Macaca fascicularis: one gene and its partner. The protein of the gene in region 1 purifies or fractionates together with the protein of each later gene. This does not show direct contact. Links are inferred from orthologs where the notes say so. Each region holds a gene or a part of one and is shown in the gene's direction. Other genes may lie near its edges.

What was found.
Region 2: the proteins of RARA (region 1) and KLF5 purify together in Homo sapiens (affinity purification with western blotting; 4 studies listed by BioGRID). This does not show direct contact. The link is inferred for Macaca fascicularis from reciprocal best matches to the Homo sapiens genes RARA and KLF5.

What each region holds. Positions count from the first base shown.
Region 1 is NC_088390.1:61,393,226-61,403,671, forward strand, and holds the start of RARA (retinoic acid receptor alpha), read left to right. Parts: upstream 1-3,496; 5' UTR 3,497-3,603; intron 3,604-10,446. UniProt on the Homo sapiens protein: Receptor for retinoic acid. Retinoic acid receptors bind as heterodimers to their target response elements in response to their ligands, all-trans or 9-cis retinoic acid, and regulate gene expression in various biological processes.
Region 2 is NC_088391.1:64,021,611-64,032,097, forward strand, and holds the start of KLF5 (Krueppel-like factor 5), read left to right. Parts: upstream 1-5,454; 5' UTR 5,455-5,779; coding exon 5,780-6,040; intron 6,041-8,300; coding exon 8,301-9,174; intron 9,175-9,967; coding exon 9,968-10,027; intron 10,028-10,487. UniProt on the Homo sapiens protein: Transcription factor that binds to GC box promoter elements. Activates the transcription of these genes.

The sequences.
Region 1 (10,446 bases):
AGAGACGGGGTTTCACTGTGGTCTCGATCTCCTGACCTTGTGATCCGCCCGCCTCGGCCTCCCAAAGTGCTGGGATTACAGGCTTGAGCCACCGCGCCCGGCTCTTTTTTTTTTTTTTTTTTTTTTTGAGACGGAGTCTCGCTCTGTCGCCCAGGCGGAGTGCTGTGGCCGGATCTCAGCTCACTGCAAGCTCCGCCTCCCGGGTTCACGCCATTCTCCTGCCTCAGCCTCCCGAGTAGCTGGGACTACAGGCGCCCGCCACCTCACCCGGCTAGTTTTTTGTATTTTTTAGTAGAGACGGGGTTTCACCGTGTTAGCCAGGATGGTCTCGATTTCCTGACCTCGTGATCCACCCGTCTCGGCCTCCCAAAGTGCCGGGATTACAGGCATGAGCCACCGCGCCCGGCCTGAGAACAGTTCTAAGGTGAAGGTAAATGTTGGTACTTTTGCACAAAGGTGGAGCAGGCCTCTGCATAACAAGGGTGCTCTGTCTTAGAAAATGTGTCTTGGCACAGTTTTGGAGCATTAGCCTCACAGATGCATTCCAATCACTCCCTCTGATGTAGTGGCATTTTGCTTGAGGCAACTTCCATGTTGCTGGTGGGACGCTTTGGCTGTGCGGGGAAGAGTCTCACCTACAGGCTGGCAAGAGAGCTGCCTGTCTGGATGTTACGCAGTGTGGCTAGATTGGCTAGAAGTTGGGTCTCTAGGCAAGGGTTTAGGGAGAAGCCCATCTTTGATGTCCCACTTTTTTTTTTTTTTTTTTTTTTTGAGACGGAGTCTTGCTCTGTGGCCCAGGCTGGAGTACACTGGTGCGATCTCGACTCACTGCAAGCTCCGCCTCCCGGGTTCGCGCCATTCTCCTGCTTCAGCCTCCCGAGTAGCTGGGACTACAGGTGCCTGCCACCACGCCCGGCTAATTTTTTGTATTTTTAGTAGAGACGGGGTTTCACCGTGTTAGCCAGGATGGTCTCGATCTCCTGACCTTGTGATCCGCCCGTCTTGGCCTCCCAAAGTGCTGGGATTACAGGCGTGAGCCACTGTGCCCTGCCTGATATCCCACTTTTTAACTTGGGGAAAGTTGTGATCTCAGGTTCCTCCTGAAAAGATAAGGTACTTTCTAAGATACCTTCTCTTAAGCTACAAACAGTGCAGGTCTTCCTCTTGGAAGCAGTGTGTTCTGTAAGGGGAGAAGGTGTGCCCTCTGGCCTCCCCTTGATTTTCAACCCCAAGGCACTGGCAGTGGAAGTTAATTGGGTGCAAGGGGCTTGGGTAAAGGCTGAAGACTGGCAAAAGGAGAGAGCCAGCTTCGTTTTTTAAAAAGCTCTAATTGAGTTCTGAATCAGCCTCACTCCCTTTGATCCCTCCTCTGTTTCCCACACTGCCTGAAAGAGCTAGATCAGCACTTTATAACAAGGGTGCGCCTGCTCCCCGCACCGCCCCCCTCTCCTGACGCTCTCTGCTGCCGCCATCCACTGCTTGTCTCCTTCAGTTAAGATAATGAAGATGCTGAGAGATAAAATGTGTATTTAATAAGTGTGGGGGTAGGGAGGCGGAAAGGGGCAACCAGGGCCTTCCCTAGTTTGGGGCCTCGCCAAGACTTAAGCTGAAAGCAAAGCTAGAGTAAGACTTGGCCCCAGGGTGTGGGGGTTTCTGGGCCTCAATCCAGCTGACTTCACTGCCTGCTGTTTGCCCTAAATTCCCCCACCTCCACCCTCTCACCCCCACACTGCTTTCTTCTTGCTCCCAATGGGAAAAAGGACTCTTGCTTCGACTTTCTTTTCAGCTGGTAACTTGGCCTTTGGTGCGGTGCCCCCCACCCCAGTGTCAGCTGCAAGGTCGGGCTAGGGCAGCCCCCTCTAGCCTAGGCCTGTAGAAGCTGTGGGTTCACAGTGGGGGGTGAAAAAGCTGGAGTTAATGAAGACCAGCTGCTAGTCTGAGTTCTGCCTACAGCTAGCTGGAGGCCGGCCTTTGGTGGTGGTTGATGGGGGGTGGGGTGACCTCCATCCATGGGCACAAGGATATCCTGTGGCAGCTAGGCTTGTGCTTCTCTCTGAGCTTAGTTTTATCCTTAGTCTGTAAGAGAGTAGTCTGTTTTCTTCTTCCCCTACTTCTCTCCTCCCCAAATAACACTCAGCTCTTATTGAACTTTATAACTGTAGTGGTGGCCCAGCTGAGATCTGAGGATCTCCAAACCCTTTTGTAAACACTCATTAACTGCCTGGGAAGAACGAAGAGCCCTGTTTAACAGCTGGGAGAGAACTGAGGCACATTAGGGTGAAAGGCTTGACCTAAACTCACCCCATGGACTCCACCCTGGGGCCTTCCATCCTTAGTCCAGCTCCTTTACTCAGTTCTTCCTGCAAGACAGAAAGAGGTGGAGGCATTGCTGGTGTCTTCTCCCCTTCTAGGCAAAGGCCATGCCCTCTCCCCTCAAGTCTGTCCCTGACTTCCTCTGGCCCTTCCCCTGATGACATTTTCCCTGCTCTGCTGCTAGAGATATGTGCAACTCTCCTTGCAAAATGTTCTCAATCCACAACTTCAGAATTCTTATCCACCTTTCTCTTGCCCATGTAGCCCACCAAACCTGAATTCTCCCTTTTGAGCTACTGAGAAGACTGGCTATACTAAACCGAATCACTGACCTTGAAGTTGATCTGTTGTATTGAAGTCCCTCTGCCCCTAGATTTATCCTAAATGGTATCTAGGAAAATATTCTCTCTTTAACTTGTTTATTCTGGTCATAAAGATTCGGGACATTACTAAGGGCTGGGTAGGGGCACTAGTTGACCTCTAGATTCTGCATCCTGTTCTTCCACTGCCAGTCACCATTTCCAGTAATAGATGTAACCCAAAGTCCTTTTTTGTTTTTTTCTCCTTCCCTAACCCCACCTGTTTATACTCTTGCCTATATATGTACATTTGCAGACCCCACACATTCCCAGGTACACATACATTGGTCCTACCTTTTCCCCCCTGTTTCCAGCTGCCATCTAAGTGAGCCTGCACTTTTTACATGCTGAAAATCTGTTTTCTTTTCCCCCTGGATGGCATCCTAGGCACTTGGGAATAACTGGGAGGGATGAAGGGACTCCTGCAGTCCATGAGGAAGAGGACAAAAGTGAGCGCCCAACCAAACGAATGCTCCCTTCCCAAAACCTCTAGCCGAATGCCTTAGCAGGAGTGGCAGGGAAAGAGATCTTAACCCCACCTCCAGCACCAAAACCTAAATCCATCTGTTCAGGGCAGGCAGGAAGAAATGTCTACTTTCTCCTGTTTCATGCCATCCTATCCTCAAGTTGTCCATATGCTGTGTATTTGAGACAGGGAACTGTTCCTGTCCCCAGCCGACGACCAGACGCCCATCTTTCTTCCAGTGGGTTATTTCTTCCCAATCAGTCCTCCGCTCTGCGCCGGCTGACCCAGTGGAAGAGGGCGGGGAGAGCCTTCTGCTTGACGAGTGGGCTTTAGGACCCAACGGGAACCCGTGCCTCTTGCAGCAGCCTAACCCAGAAGCAGGGGGGAATCCTGAATCGAGCTGAGAGGGCTTCCCCGGTTCTCCTGGGAACCCCATCGCCCCCCTGCCAGCACACACCTGAGCAGGTAGGACCATGCACACCCCTTCCCAATTCTTCTTTGGCCGCCTTTGACCCTGGCCTCTGCTTCTGATCTAGCCGTTTCCCTCTCGCCAGTTCTGGCTTTCCCCATCCCTCCTCTCCCGTCGCTCACTGTAGTCCTGGGAGGTGGGAGCCTGGGAACAGTGGGGTGTCTGAAAGCTCAGAGCCCCCTGCACCCTCCTCCTGAGGCAGTTCCCGGTCTCTAGCTAAGAGTGGGGAGTAGGGGGAAGGTCTGCCCAGGCCCCACGCCCTTGCACCCTCCTTTGCAGTATTGCCTAATACCCCTTCCCCCACCTCACCTAGACTGGAGAATTGGCAAGTGCTGGGGTAACAGAGGAGAGAGCCAGAGAGAGACCTGAGCTTTCCCCGAGGGATTTCTTTCTTGCTTCCTCGCCCAAAGAACTCAGGACTTTGCCCCCACTCCCTACTCACCTTGTAGGGGAACTAATGTCCCCTTCCAGGTTCATCTCACACTTGGGTGGCTAAAGGCTTTGCTGGAGGGTAGTGGAGGTTGTGAGCATTTTGGTGACCTTTTCCTCTAGGAAAGTTCTTTCAGCTTAGAGCCCCCATCGCTGTCAACATCTCAACACCTGCTGCAGAAGCCCCCACCCCACCCGTGTGTGTGTGTGTGTGTGTGTGTGTGTGTGTGTGTGTGTGTGTAGAGACAATGTGGTTGTAAGAGCTAGAAGCTTTGGATAGAGGTGGCTGCATGCATTGAAGGGGAGGGATACCAGAGTGTGGCCCAGGCCAGAACAGGCTCAGTCCAGATGGCTAGGGAAGGGAGTGTAGACCAGATTGAGGAGGTCACCCAGCCTTGCCAGCTTCCTGAGCTCCTTGGCTTTCAGAATCCCAGGCTCCTGGTGTTTCTCTAGAGCTACGAGGTCCCCAAGCTTCTGCCCCACTACAGGCTCTCTGGGAGAGGGCTAGATGGCACCTACTGTTTACAGTGGCTTATTTTTCTCTCCTGTGGTGGGCAGACAGGCCCTGCTCTCTGAAGATCTAGGGCATGTCATTCTGGTTTGGTGGGTTTACAGGAAGGGTGTACATCTTGTATGAGTTACCATGTGTGAGTGTGTATCTTGCTTCTGGGGGTAGTAGACTGGGGAGGGGGTGATAGAAGAGACTGGTCACACTGAGGGAACTCCTCTAGCTCTCAGTGTGTGGTAGGAGTGGGTGGCATGTCCCCATCTGGTAGCTCTGTCTAGGTGTGGGGTGTGCTCTGCATTCTTCCATGACTCCCTGGGTCCCCTAAAGGTTGGTTTTGGAGGACACGGTGGATAATGGAGTGGCTTCAGACTTCCCTCTGGTCTTGATCCAAGAAGGAAAGTAGAGATTCTGACTGCGAGCAGTGGACTGGGAATCAGAGGACTGAACTGGAGACTTAGCCTGGTTACTTAACTATGTGTGTTTATATATGTCTTCCCCTTTGCTAAGCCTCAGTTTCTTCATTTGTAAAAATGGCTATCAGTAGCAAGCAGGGACATTGCCACCAAGACCATACAGAGAATGTATCATAAAGCTCACTGCAAACGGTAGTAATGGCTGGGGGGATCTAGGATGGAATCCTCTTCCTAAATCTAGGTCAATCTCTCTGCCTTCAGTTTTCTTCCCCCATCCTTTGCCCATCTGGGGGATGGAGGAACCAGGCAGGGCTATTGCCCTGGGTACTGCAGAATTCCCCTAATGCAGGTTGTAGCTGTTGCCAGAGCACCTGTGGTCACAGAGTACAGATCTCTCCACCAGGCATTTCTTCCTCTGGGGCCCCATACTTGCTCCCCTGAGCCATGTCTCCACCTTCCTTCTGCCATCCCTGCTTGGCGTCCTTGTCTCTCTCTCCCCTGCCCAGTGGCCTCCTTGTCCGGCTCACTGGGCAGGAGCCCTAATCGGATTCGACAGCTGAGATATGTGTGGCGGCTAAGAGCAGGCGGGAGGGAAGCCAGTGGGAGGATGGTATGAGGACTGCCCCTGGCACTGCCCCGGCCTCCCGAGCACCACCTTGGGCCTGCTGATTTCTTACTTGGCTTGGCCCCAAGGAAGGGGTGCCAGAGGAAGCTCAGGAATGAACAGGCTGAGGTCTGGAGACTAGGAGAGGAGGAAACACACCAAGGTCCTGAGGACCTGGTTGATATTTGATGACCTTAATGTCAGTGTCTCTGACTCTGACAAGGAGGAAAGGACAGCGATGAGCCAGGCTGACCCCCGCCACCCCATTCCCATAGCCCCACTTTCTTCTCTCTTCTTGTTCAGAAATGTGTTCACTTTGCCTCCTCTAGACCCTTTGGCCAGTACCTCCTTGTGGGTCACATCTGGGAGCTTCTGGGGTGCCACATGTCTGCCTCAATCTGGGCTGTTTCCTCCCCTCCAAGGTATTTCACTCTCTCTGGGCTGGGCGCCAGGACTCCTGGGTTTCCCACCCGCCTGTGGTGCAGGGCTCCCCTGCAGGGCTCCAGAGAGTCGCTTAGCTGGTTTCCTTCCTTCTGTGTGGGGAGGGCCTTCCCCTAGGGCTGGGAGGTGTCAGAAATCCCAGGTGGGACAGGGGTGGGGGCACAGTAGCCTCTGGCACTGTAGCACCCCAGCTTCTCCCTCCTAGCCTCTGACTCAGCTTGAGGGCAGCACATGCCCAGCCTGGCAGGCATGGCCCATTCTTGCCTCCAGGCTTCTGTCTTTACAGAAGCCTACATCTCCTGCTCTCATTTTTTAGCTTGTGTTCCCCATGATATCTGGGGGTGGCTATCGAAATCCCTGGTTTTGGGGAGCAAGGGACTAACATAATTGAGGCTGGGGCACTATTTTGTCTTCCCTCCATTTGGGCCAGGATGAAGGAAACTGTCACAAACTTCCCCACGCCAATTCTTCCTGCCCTCAAAAGACCAGTCAGTGGAGCCAGGCCCTGCCCTCTGGGTGCCCACAATGTGGTTGGCACTGATTTGTCAGAAATTGGGAAGGTTTCCCTCTAGACCGCTTGCCTCCTTTCTCCTCCTCCCACAGGGTAGGGGCAGCTCTGTGATTGCAGGCACTTATGGGCAGGCCTCCCCCTAGGGAAGGGGTGTGGGATGCCCCCAGGATGGCCAAGTTGGCACTAGCCCCAGGCTGGAGTGCTGGACAAGATTCTGACCTGGGAGTTAGTTGGGGGAAGGCAGGGCATGGGCCTCCCTGCCCCCCTCGTTTCCTGCTCTTTGGGCAGCTGTGGGCGAGAAAGGCTGCAGGGACTATTTTTAGTTGGTCAGTCCCCTGGCAGGAGGGACGTGCAGAGCAGCACGGGGCAGGCAGAGGGGCTTGCCAAGGTGAGGGTAAGCAGGCAGGCAGAGGTGTGAGGAAGGGCCAGAGGGGCAGAAGACAGAACAAGGAGGCATGGGGAGCAGGGGCAAGACCTTACCCAGAGGGACCTGACCCAGGTAGATGGGCCGGGCTGGGCTGGAGTGGGTGGAAGAGTCCTGGCACCCTTCAGGGCTTTCTTTATCCAACTGGACTCAGAGCTGGAAGAGGTTTTAGGGGCTACCTAGGCAATCCCTTCCCCTTTCAGAGAAGGAAACTGAGGCCTAGAGAGGACACTCAATCAGTCACTGGCTGTGTTGAGACCTGAACCTAGGCCCTCCCTTTGCACCATTTTTCTGTTGTCATGGTTCCTCACTACACCTCAGTGTGCTTCCTTCCCCTACTGCAGCAAGGAGGACCATGAGCCAGGCACACCTGGTCCATTTTCCCCTCTGCTTGTTTGTGCAGGGTCTCTGTAAATCCCAGCTTGGTTTGTTTATAAGTCTCCATGTGGAGAGAGTCTGTGTCCAGGCTGGAAGGAGGTCAGAGTTGGGTTTGTTTGGGTGGCCTGTGGCCACTGGTGTGAATGGAGATACTGGACAGGCTCCAGCAGGCTCACAGGCTGGTGAGCTGTGGGGCTAGGAGACACCTTACAGAAGGGACGTCCAGACTTCCTAGAGCCCTTTGTGAGCCCTCTTCCTACCCTGCCCAGGACCTGTGGGTCATGGTGGCTGTTTGCCAATCTCCCCAGCAAAAAAAGGGAGCAGGGTTGAGGAGTGGGAAGATTACTACTGGCTTCTGATCACTAGTCAGAAGGGGGCCCCCTCTGAGGCCTGGAGGCAGGGAAAGTTGGGGCAAGTTGGGGTGTATATAGGGAGAAAACGTAGTGGAGAATTGTGGTCCCTCAGAATTCAGTCTGCTTTCTGTCTTCTGCCTTAGGCTCTCCCCAAGGGCCACCATGTTGCACAGCTGCAGGGGGAACCATTCCATAGATTATGATGCGAATGGCACCCCCTGGGGTTGTTCAAGGCCCTGCCTGTGTAGCCACACATGGTGCATCTGTCCCCCACGTTCTTCCTTCAAATTAGTTCAGACCCAGCTGGAAGGAGGTGTTCCAGACAGGCATTACACCCTCTCCCTCTCCCCTACCCTGCCTCATGCCACTCAACATCTCCTATTCCTCTGCTGCCCACCCCCAATGCACCAAGCAGGTCATGGTGCACCACCATTTGTATTGTAGGAGCCCCTCCCCTTCTCTCCACTCAGTTTCTGTGTCTCTGGGGGGCTGATTTATCATGCCCCCCATCAGGCCTACTGTGGTGTGTGAGAAATCAATAGTGCAAATGGATTGAGGCTGTTTAGCCTGTCAACTCCCCTTGGGCCCCACCAACTCTTCTGGGACTTGTGGAGTTGCTCAGCCCCCTTCTGGCTCAACATACACATATTTAGTGGTTGTAGCCAGAGCACTGAGCACAGGAATTACTCTTTCTGTTCGTCTCTGTCTCATTCTCTCTCTCTCATATACTGGGCTGGTCTTAGCATGACAAATACTCTTGAACATTTATTTTCTAGCTTAGGTGGAGGGGCTTAAAGGGCAGTAGGCTGCCAGCCAGAGGTGGGGAGGGAGGCAGGTGGGTGAGGGAGACTGTGGGTAGAGGGGTGGGGTGGGGGTGGAGACTAGCTGGGGAAGGGATTGGGTGACAGCCCACCCCATCAGCTCTGGTAACTCAATCCCTGCACCCCACCCTCCCAATTTCCCTCCTGCTCAACAACTTCAGCAGCTGCTGGCAGAAACAAGGCTGGCAGAAGTGTGTATGAGTGCATGTGTGTATGGGGGGAGAGGGTGAGAGGGGCTGTGGGGGCAGGGAGTTTTGCCAGGACATGTTAAAGGAGACTCACAGCCTGGGTACAACTTGGGTGGCAGGAGGAGGTGGGGCAGGTGGGAGAGTGGGTGGTGAGTGATGGGCAGGCTGCAGTGGGGGCAGGGCAGCCCAGGGGTCTCACAAAACTTGTTGGCACTGGAGCAGGGCCTGGTGTGGTGGGGGTGGGCAGTGGTGAGGGGGCAGGGGCTGGCACAGACATTGCTGGCCCCAAAATGCTGAGGCCCATTCTTCACCAGGGGGCGCATGTAACCACGGAGGGACAGTCTGCCCCTGTCTCCAATCCTTGGGCCGTGCCTGCTGGGCATCACAGTCTCGGTGGTGACTAAGTCACTTCTGTCCTGGGGCTGGCAAGGTGCCAGGCTCAGCTCTTCTCGGTAGGTGAGTCACTGCCCTGGCATCTCCCCCGGATGCAGCTGAGTCACCCAGCCATGCCTGCTAGGCAGGTGGGCACCACGTTTTGGTGGGGGTGGAGGGCTATGTGTGCTGCCCCCAGTGTCTTCTCCGATCTCCCTCTGGCATGTCCCGGCCCCACCCATAAACCTGCAGAGCCAGGCAAGGATGGCGCTTCTCCCTTGTGATCCACTGAGGGGTGAAGGAAGAGGTAGCAGGGCACAGAGTGGAGTGATAGATATTTGATTTAGAGTAAGTAGGGGAAGGGAGAGTTGAGGAGGGAACATTGATTGGGATATATATATATATTTTTTTTAACAAAAAAGAGACAGGGTCTTGCTATGTTGCCCAGACAGGTCTTGAACTCCTGGACTCAAGCAACTGTCCCATCTTGGCCTCCCAAAGTGCTAGGATTAAAGGTGTGAGCCACCATACCTGGCCTGGGTTTGAATCCCAGCCCTGCTATTGACAAGCTGTATGACCTTGAGGAAGGCAATTTTCTTTTTGAGCCTCAGTTTTCTCATCTGTACAATGGCAACAGGAGCCTGCCCCTTCAGGACTGTGAGAATCAAATGGAGTGGGACTATTAAGGTACTTGTGGGAGGAGCTGCTTTTGGGATGAGCTAGGAGGCTTGGGAGGGGAAGAGGAGTCAGCTGGAGCTGGTTCCAACAAACTCCCGCACCATCCTGGTGGTCTTGGAGGGCCAATTGCTTCTCATCCTCTCTTTGGACTATCACTTAATGCTGTTCTTCAGGAGTTTCCACAGGCTGTAAAGGACAGCCTTGTTGTACTAGAAGTGTGGGCCCTCCTAGGGTGTCTCAGAGCTATATTTTATCTTTTTTGACTACTGAGAACTGCCACTGGCCTTGGTACCTGTCCAGACTCTTCCTTCGCTTCCTCTAGTTTGAAGAGGGATCCTTTTCTTGGGAAACCAGTGGCTCAGGCTCCTCCCCCAGCCTATCTCCTGTGTGCAGGGAAATAGTAGGCCCCAAGGAGTGTCCTTCCTAAAGAGTGAGGCGCCCCTGAGCATGTGGCTTTTCTCTCTCTGCTAGTTTCCTGCTGCTCCCTGGGTACCCTTCTGCATCAGGGTCCCTGGTGGGAGGGGGTGGTGGAAGCCCTGTTATGAGCCCAGCACAGCTGGAGTTCAGCTGCTGCTGCAGATTGAAGACTCCTGATCCCCCACCTGGGGACCTCTCCTGCCTTCTGCAGTCAAGCTTGAGTAGGGCTGGGCCTTGGACAGGTGGTACTTGTTGCCCTGGGCAGGAAGGAAATGCCCCAAAGATGTGCATGCTGTGTGTTT
Region 2 (10,487 bases), on another chromosome or scaffold:
CTGCAACCTCTGCCTTCCGGGTTCAAGTGATTCTCCTGTCTCAGTCTCCTGAGTAGCTGGGATTACAGGCACACATCACCATGCCCGGCTAATTTTTGTATTTTCAGTAGGGATGGGGTTTCCCCATGTTGGCCAGGCTGGTCTTGAACTCTTGACCTCAGGTGATCCACCCACGTTGGCCTCCCTTTGGGATTACAGGCGTGAGCCACCGTGCCCAGCAGTGACCTATAATTTAACCATCCAATGAAGGCCACCAAAATACATCCATGTTTGGTATTTTCTTTTCATCTTTGTGGGTACATATTGATAAAACTCCCTTCTTTCACTACACATAGCATGAATGTTTTCCTGTGTCACTAAATATTCCTTAATATGAATTTTCCCCCTTTTTTTCCAACTACTCAACTTTTTGGTAGCATAACAGTAGCCATGGTATGGATATATTGCTTAACTACTCCCCTGTTGTTGGACACCTAACCTAGGTTATTTCCAATTTTATTTTTATTTAAATTAATTATTATTATTTGAGACAGGGTCTTGCTCTGTCACCCAGGCTGGAGTGCAGTGGTGTGATCATAGCTCACAGTAACCTTGAACTCCTGGGCTCAAGTAATCCTCCTACCTCAGCCTTCCAAGTAGCTGGGACTACCTGCATACATCACCATGCCTAATTCATTTTAAACATTTTTGTAGAGATAGGGGTCTCACTATGTTGCTCAAGCTGGTCTCCAGCTCCTGGCCTCAAGCAATCCTCCCACCTTAGCCTCCCAAAGGGCTGGGATTATAGGTGTGAGCCACCATGCCTGGCCCAATTTTATATATAAAATTTATATATATATATATATAAAATATATATATACACACACACATACAGGTATATATATACACACACATATATCTTTATATATAATTTTGGGCCAGGCATGGTGGCTGGCCCAATTTTATATATAAAGATATATGTGTGTGTATATATATACCTGTACGTGTGTATGGTGGGCCAGGCATGTATATATATATACACAATACAGATATATACACACACACACATACACCTTTCCTAAAAGAGAAATTATCTATCATTTTCAAAGTTATTTACATTTTAGCCTTTTTCATACTTATTGTCAAATTGCCCTTCCCCAAAGTTGTAAAGTTTACTCAAGAAGAACTCGCATTGCTCTTAGGCACAACTTTTACACACTTCATCTATAAATCAACATCTAAAAGAGTATTTCCGTGTGACCCATGCACACACAGTTCATTTGAGCATTCACAGGGTGTTCCCCACAGCCTGGTACCATTACAGCTTTTGTCATCACATGAACAGCAATTGGCTCAAAACACTACCCATTGTGATGCTGATGATGAGACCTCCCTAATGTTCTAAAAGATTGTTTGGTGTAACCACTTTAGCTCAGACCTTTCTCTTAACCTTGCCTATCATGTTTCGAGTCAAAATTTAAATACTGTACAGTTTAAGCTACAATATGCTTGGCCTATAACTTGGTTCCAGGCGTTTATATTTATGTCACTTTTGTCTACTTATTATACTAACAAGGTGGAAAAAGCAATCCCAGTCTCTCCAAAAGGTAAAACTCTCCTGTTTTTTGGATATTAGTAGAGTTTTAAAATTAGGCTAGATAAATTATAGTATCCTTAGGATTAAGCGCATAAAGGGAGTTTTATGAAATATTTTAAGAAGAACATGTTTAAAAATCCAAACTGAAATATAAAATGTAATTTCTTGAGAACTGGAGGCAAGAGACATTACAAAAATAAAATATTAAGTTGTTGTCTTAAGACATAATTTTAATTAATATAAATAGATGTATTTAGTCTTATTTAAATTGCATATTTTTTCATCACAAAAACAATGAACAGAGCATCTTCTTTCTCGTCTCGTAATCTTTTGCTTTAAATGCTTTAAATTCCAACTAATCTCAGTTGAAGCTTCTATTTATCAGGCTATTTCCTTAATGACTTTTTTTCTGATATGTGGCTTTAAGTGGTTGCCGTTAATGAAAAAATACAAAGACTACAGATGTGAAATGTTTGAGAGGACAATAATTACAATAGTTTTAAGTTTTCACTGATACAGATTCTAACAGGGGTGGACAATCAATGACTACCAGTCACTTTAATTAAATAATCTTACCCTAGAGAAGAGTGTGCTCCCGTATAAAACTTTATTTTTCATGTTTATTCTTGTTCTTTTTCCTGTGGCCCAAGATCACTTGGCAATTTGATACTGATTTAGCAGAAATAAATATTCTATGAATATTTTTCTACTCGAAGTGAATACAGTTTTGTTGGCTGTGATACTCTATACCTCTTAATTTCGAGCTCTCTCTGACATTTCAGTTGTTTGCCAAACAACTGAATTTAGATTTGCCAAACAACTGAATTTAGATATTCCTTTTGCCGTGTCGTTGTGTGAACATTGCCCTAGTGATAGCTTCATATTTCCCTCATCTCATCATTCAGAAGCTATTTATCTATTTTTTTCCACTGCCTCCTTCAAACCCCCTCCCCCATCACTGAATGCCTGTTCAGCCCCCGCATATTCATCCGTATTTATTCCCGTAAAGATAGTGACACTTATGGTTTATTCTAAGACTAAATCTGTGTTGCCCAGTGACTAAGGACTTAAGCATGCACACTGCTTCTATGCTTACCCTCCTACCTAACTTGAGCACTCAACATTTTTATTTCATTCCCTCAGAATCCCCTGTTTTGGCACAGTTCACTTAACACACCACTGCCAGGCCACTAATTGATTTCTGAAACCTGACATTTGTTTTTTGTTTTCTCCCATCTTCCCTAATGGTACAGCACTACTAAGCGGGAAGGAATGCAAAGAACTAGAAAGTTCAAAGTAATTGAGGATCTGTCCATTCACTCTGTCTGGCTTCATGCCAATGTAGAACCTGGAACATTTGAAAAATATTTATCAAGTTTTAACCCTTTTTACTAAGTCGATGAAACAGGTTTGCAGCTGTAGCATTTATGTTAAAAGTAACAGCAGGGAAGCTTGGTTGAACATGTTCTTTATATGCTCAGAATCACATGGCAAATGTCTCCGAAAAGGATTACTTTCCAATTTCCGTACTATTGTACAGTGCTAAGCTAGTTATTTTCTGTGAGATTGCAGAGCAGGGCATTTCAGAGAAACTATTACTTAAAAGTGGCAGCCCTATTTCATGAATCTTTATGCCTGAAATGAAATTTTAAAAGGTGCTACTGTATTGGAGCAAAAAGGAATATATTCAGTTACTATAAGAACCCCAACGCTAGCTTCATATCTATATTCATTATGAAAAGTGGAAATATGAAACAACAAGACTAAAAATATTAAAAACAATATTAGTTGTGTGTGTTTTTTTCTTTTTTTGCAATGAAAAAGCTTTTGTAAATGAAAGCATGTTAAAAAGTGGTGTGAAATTATGGAAGCATTTCCAGTAAAATACAGGGATTTTATTGCAGTGAAAACTTAGATTGAAATACCAGGCCACTGAAGCTCTCGTAAAAAGAAAGACAAAAGGAAAGGTCTAGATAGGTTTAAAAGCACATTAAGATACAGCTACCAAATGTATTAAATCTAAGTTAGATTTAGCTTAAAGTTACAAGAGCACAAAAGTTCTATTAAGAATTATCTACATCACATTTAGGTTTGATGTTATCAGAATTAAGTAACTAACAATCTTTCAGAGCTCAATTTTTTAAAAGAGTTACATTAAATCCCATCCTAATTCTATAATCTGTTTCTAAGCTAATTAATTACATGATCGGTTTGATATTAGAGAAAAGCAAGACAGCTTTTTAAAGATGAAGGTGGACAGCATGGGGCTGTTTGGTTAGAGAAAAACTTGCAAAAGCACTTATTAAATAATACTTTGGTAACATGAAAGTAGTCATCAGTCATTCTCTGAAGGCAGTGGTCACAGTTAGTAGAAATGAATCATGTATCAACAGGAAGAGAAGGAAAAGGAGAAAAACCTAGTTTACAGCATAATTTTATATGTTCTAATAATAAATACATTTCTTTATGTGCTTATTAATTTTCTACCCATTGAAAATGAGATCCATACCTTTGATAGATATGCTCTTTGAAGTGAACGTTTTTTTCAAATACTTTTTTTTTTAAAGCTGTTTTACTCTGAAGCGATGAGTAGGCTGTCGTATATGTAAAACTGTCTAATGGTATACTGTGCTGTCAACATATGTACATTTGTAGTAATATCACAAGCATTTTTATTGCAGTTTATTGTTCCGTCCTCCCAATAAGCCAGATAAAATCATGTACAAGAACATTAAGGATTAAGGGAAGTGGTTTCCTTAGGTGATTCCTGGCAAAAATTCACCCTCCCATTATAACAACATAGTAAATGGACGGTAATATATTTGGCTATTACCTTCCAACAAATTTGGATTCCCAGTTTTCAGTGTCTATGTGTCTATGTTTGTGGCTTTCTGGTTGTCTCTTCGTAGGAAAAGGTGCCACAATGTGAGGTAAATGTGCTAGGTTTCTGTTTTGTAAATATTAAAGTCCATTTTTTTAACATACAGTGCTAGCAAAAATAAGTCAAAGATGTAATGTCTATTTAAGTACACATTTGAGCCAGTCGTGCTTAAATTAGATTCCATGCTTCGGCTAGAATCAACATGGCTTAAATATTAGAAACTTCAAAATTCATGTGGCCCAAGCCCTCCTCCCCACACACGGATAGGAGGTACAAATGTGTGGGAAAACGTCTAGCAATTAAAATCCTGAAGGAGTGGGAAAAACTCAGGCTTTTATGCGAGGATTTGAAAATAACGCTTCCCATCAAATCTTTTATTCAGGCATTCTGAATTTGCCTTGTTAAATGGATACAGTCACTGCTAAAGATACATGAGACAAGAGCTGTTTTAAATTTGTTTATCACACCGCCCCTAGTTTTCTGCTAAAGAGAAGTATATTTCGGATATTTAAAAGTACACACTCATTAGACAAATCTCTAAAAGCCTCAGCGCCCCCACCTAGCTGCCTTCTGGGTTTCAGCTTTTGAGTTTCAGGTCCTTGCACAACACCTAAGACGTGCAATACTCTTTTTCTTCCTAATCCTGGCAGAGAACAGTGCGAAGAGCTCTCCCTCCGCGTCTCCACCCTAATTCCCCCTCTTCCCAGATTCCACCCGCTCCGCTACTTCCCTCCGCCCCCAGCTCCGCCAGCCCAATCTGTCAGAGAAGTTGTGTACAAACTGCGCGGCCGCCCTGCGCGCGAAGCTCGTGGCCCGAGAGGGGTGCGGTCGGGCCGGCGGAGGCGGGGCCCTGGCTGCCTCTCTCCCTGCTCATAGGCTGGCCGCTCAGGCCCGGCCGGCCTTGAGGCCTCGGGATTCGCGGCGGCGCTGCCAATCAGGCGAGCGGGCCCCGCCCCCCCGGAGTTGGGTGAAATAGAGGCGGGCGTCAAGTGTCAGTAGTCGTGGGGCAGGTACGCGCGCTCGCAGTTCTCTCGCTGAGGTCGGCGGTGGCGGGAGCGGGCTCTGGAGAGCCTGAGAGCGCAGTGGGGCGGGGCGGGAGAAAGTGGCCGCCCGTAGGACGTTGGCGTTTACGTGTGGAAGAGCGGAAGAGTTTTGCTTTTCGTGCGCGCCTTCGAAAACTGCCTGCCGCTGTCTGAGGGGTCCACCCGAAACCTCTCCCCTCCTCCGACCGCAGCCCCGCACCGAGCTCGCCGCCCCAAGCCAGGGTGGGCGAGGTGGGAAGTGCGCCCGACCCGCGCCCGGAGCCGCGCTCCCGAGTGCCCATGGCTACGCGGGTGCTGAGCATGAGCGCCCGCCTGGGACCCGTGCCCCAGCCGCCGGCGCCGCAGGACGAGCCCGTGTTCGCGCAGCTCAAGCCCGTGCTGGGCGCCGCAAATCCGGCCCGCGACGCGGCGCTCTTCCCTGGCGAGGAGCTGAAGCACGCGCACCACCGCTCGCAGGCGCAGCCCGCGCCCGCGCAGGCCCCGCAGCCGGCCCAGCCGCCCGCTGCCGGCCCGCGGCTGCCTCCCGAGGAGCTAGTCCAGGTAGGAAGAGCCGCTCCCCTCCCACCACTGCACTCCCGGGCCCGGGCGTGTCCCGTCGCTGCGACGCGCGGGCGACAGGGGCCGCTCCAGGCTGGGGCGTGCGTCGGGGCGCACCGGAGCCGGTGCTGGGTGGGCAGCCCCGCCCTGCACGCCTGGCCGGGGACCCGCGTTTCGCTGAGAGTAAATGAGGGGTCGGGAGGGGGGAAGGATAGAGGGGAATCTGCCCCGGCGGCTTGGCCTGGGAGAGATCAGAGGGAGGGAACTGGGTGCTCACACGCACCTTAGTTGTTTTTCTTACACTTGAGGGACGAAACCTTGTACCTTACGCTCAGTTTTACTTAAATTACGTCTTCACCTTTACCGCTCCCCAGTGCCAAGGCATTGGAGCTCCCCCATCCCCATCGTCTCGGGTTAAGTAGAAACGCAAATTGGGGTGCTGGGGAGAGGTTGCTCAAGATTTCATAGCCGGTGGCTCAACCTGCTTTAGAAGCGATCGCGGGCCGCGTTTGGAAAATGAGAGTTAGGAAAGCTAAGGTTGTGTTGGAGCGCTTATTTTTCCTTAAAAAAAAAAAAAAGACCGGGGGTGTTGTTTTCTTCGTGTGCGCGTAAATTTCCTCCCGGAGCCGCGTTGAAAGCTGGCAGTTGGCTTTTACACTTGCCCAGCAGCCGAATTAGAGCAACCGCCTGTTTCTTTCGCCCACGCAGGGAGTCATATAGCCCAGAAAAAAACTTCCCGGGACTTTTAGCCTGTCCCAAGGAAAAAAAAATTGGAAACATACCCACATGCAAACAGCTGGAAGAGCTAAAATCAGAAACCACTAACCGCCGCGGGAGCGCAGTGCACGAAAGGGTTTAGTTCAGTTTATTTCAAGACACTTCATTTAGTAGCCCTTTGGCGTATCGCATATTTGCTACCCAGCGCCTACTCCGTGGGGTCTGTCAGGGTCCTGCTGTGAGAGGGCAGTGGCATTTGTCAGAGATGTGACTCACATGACGTGAGCGTTAATTTTTATTTTTAAATCGTGTCTATCCGGGAAACCCCGTCCGGATCCACACCAAGGTCCGAGATGAAACGCATTTGAAATGAAGTAGTAGCAGAAAATGACTGTCTTATTTACCGATTAAGGTGCCAAGCTAATACTATGCGCCATTCCATCTAGTTGGTTATCTTATCTTTCGAAATTTCCTTTTTCAGTGTTAAAAAATGTAGGCTTAAGTTATACTAGGAGAGAAGATAGCTGGAAAAAGCTTGAGGCGACTTGTTACAAGCTGATTTAAAAGCCTAGAAAAGAGATCATCGTTTGAAAAGTATTTGGTTATTTCAGTTTGTCAATTTTCTGCTCTGGAGGCACAAGAAGATAAGGGATGACTGAGCTTTTTACAGAGTCGGGGGGAATGTAGCATTGGCCCACTGAGGAGGACATGATAAATGTTTTGCTGATGACTGTGCTAGGGATACAGCAGCCTCCCCACCCACGGGCTCCTTAGCAGCACTCTAGCGAGGGAGTGATTTTCCCCTAGGTAATTAAAGATCTGTTTTAGATAGGGGTATGAATAGGAACATTTCATTATCATATTAACCAATTACAGGATCTGCTGATTAAAATCAACCTTTAGGTCAAATATTGAATGTGAAATTGTTTTGTTTCAGTGGATACAAGGTTTTGCTTAGAACATTGTATTTCTCATTGAACTGTAAACAAGAAAAGACACAGAAGTAGCCAAAGAATATTTTTTATATTACTTTTGAAGTGTCTAGCCAAATAAACCTTTGCAATATTTTAAAGGTTTGCATAGTTTTTTCTGTAAAAAAACAAAACAAAACAAAAAACACGCTTTTTAATGTTTATGACTTAAACAGAATTGAGGTAGTTTGGCAACATTTCAATAGTGTACTCTAATTGCAAATTTAACTGTGTAATGGGGCAGGGAATCCTGCTTGTACAGGGGTGATACCTTGTTATTGCATCAGAAAGGAATGTTTTCAGTTTGCTTTCTTTTTTTTTCTTGATTTGCGTCTTTCACTTTTGGGGGTGATTGGGGGAGCAGTTTTACCAGTTACACAGTTTCATAAGGTTTTGGTCAACCAATTATTACACAATCGACAAAATAAGCCTGATATGTTTATAAGCAACACTGAGGAGTTTGCCCGAGTACCTTATACAGGGATTGGGGTAATTTTTAGTAGGCGCCGATTGTTTGTCCTTCCCAAGATGGTGAATCAGGTGGATTATGCATGTTTGTATCTCTTCTTTTTTAGACAAGATGTGAAATGGAGAAGTATCTGACACCTCAGCTTCCTCCAGTTCCTATAATTCCAGAGCATAAAAAGTATAGACGAGACAGTGCCTCAGTCGTAGACCAGTTCTTCACTGACACTGAAGGGTTACCTTACAGTATCAACATGAACGTCTTCCTCCCTGACATCACTCACCTGAGAACTGGCCTCTACAAATCCCAGAGACCGTGCGTAACACACATCAAGACAGAACCTGTTGCCATTTTCAGCCACCAGAGTGAAACGACTGCCCCTCCTCCGGCCCCGACCCAGGCCCTCCCTGAGTTCACCAGTATATTCAGCTCACACCAGACCGCAGCTCCAGAGGTGAACAATATTTTCATCAAACAAGAACTTCCTACACCAGATCTTCATCTTTCTGTCCCTCCCCAGCAGGGCCACCTGTACCAGCTACTGAATACACCGGATCTAGATATGCCCAGTTCTACAAACCAGACAGCAGCAATGGACACTCTTAATGTTTCTATGTCAGCTGCCATGGCAGGCCTTAACACACACACCTCTGCTGTTCCGCAGACTGCAGTGAAACAATTCCAGGGCATGCCCCCTTGCACATACACAATGCCAAGTCAGTTTCTTCCACAACAGGCCACTTATTTTCCCCCGTCACCACCAAGCTCAGAGCCTGGAAGTCCAGATAGACAAGCAGAGATGCTCCAGAATTTAACCCCACCTCCATCCTATGCTGCTACAATTGCTTCTAAACTGGCAATTCACAATCCAAATTTACCCACCACCCTGCCAGTTAACTCACAAAACATCCAACCTGTCAGATACAATAGAAGGAGTAATCCCGATTTGGAGAAACGACGCATCCACTACTGCGATTACCCTGGTATGTGCTCTTACCTGGTTGAAGCATCAATAGGTTGTGTGTGTGTGTGTGTGACTTTAAAATGGCAATTGAATAAATTGCAGTTTTTAATTCTAAATTAAGTGCCCCAGAAAGAGATTAAAGTAGGGTAGGGGAAAATAAGGTTTGGTAGTGAAGTGGAGGTTGTAGGCAGCTAGCGTGATGGTAGGTACAAGACTGTCTACAGGATAGATTTAAGAATGGTTTTGATGGCATGTGAGCATATGCTCAGTTTTGAATGAGATACGTGGCCCAAAGTGTAAATTGAAGACAATACATGGAATAGATCTACAAGTTACTGGGAAAGCTAGTTTATGATTAATACATGACAAAATTTATTGACTTTGATACATGATATGGCATGACGTGCTAAATGAAAAAACAAATGTGGGAGTACAGAAAATTACAGTCATCTTGGATAATGGCTTAGCATTGTCAGCTCTAGAGCCATTAAAATTTTCCAAAAAACATATAGTAACTCTTAAATTACGGAAGTACAGCACCTACTGGAATATAAACACAAATTTTCCATTTGTAGTTTGGCTTGATTATCTGCATTCTTTCCTGTTAAAGTGATACATAAAACAAATCACTTTATGCCTTTAACAGGGTAATGGGGGAGGACTCTTTAAAAAACTTTTAAATCTGAAGCTTCAAATAATCTCATCTAGCATGAGAGATTTCTTCTTTAAAGCCAGATTTTAAACACTGAATCATCAAATGTAAAGATTTCAAAAGGATCTCCAAAATGACATGCTGTTCTCCTTTATTTTAGGTTGCACAAAAGTTTATACAAAGTCTTCTCATTTAAAAGCTCACCTGAGGACTCACACTGGTATGTAATTTTCTTGTTAATTCTGTGAGTTGTGTAAATAGTGTAAGTGGTATTCATCCTTTTAAAAGCTAACACGTGTTTGATCTCTTCTTCTGTCAACTTTTTTTTTTTTTTTTTTTTTTTTAAATAAATAGCCTACCTTTTCAGCACGGGCTTGGCTCAGAATTCAGTTCCATGAGAAATCTGGTTCCAGGAAGGCCGGTGATGTTCCCTCACTAAGGCCTTCTTGCCCTGTCACCGCTCATAGAATTGATTACCCAAAAACGTAAACAACGATGTTTACTAATGGATTTTAAAACTTGTAATGGCAGTGTTTTGAAGAAAAAAAAAAAACTCATTTTCTTCCATAACACATAATTTTGCTCTGAGAAAGCCATTTTAAACTCATGTACAGCATAATTGGTGAAAACATTATCTTTAGTTTCACCTATAGGTTAAAATATCTGTGTTTAGTATGTTT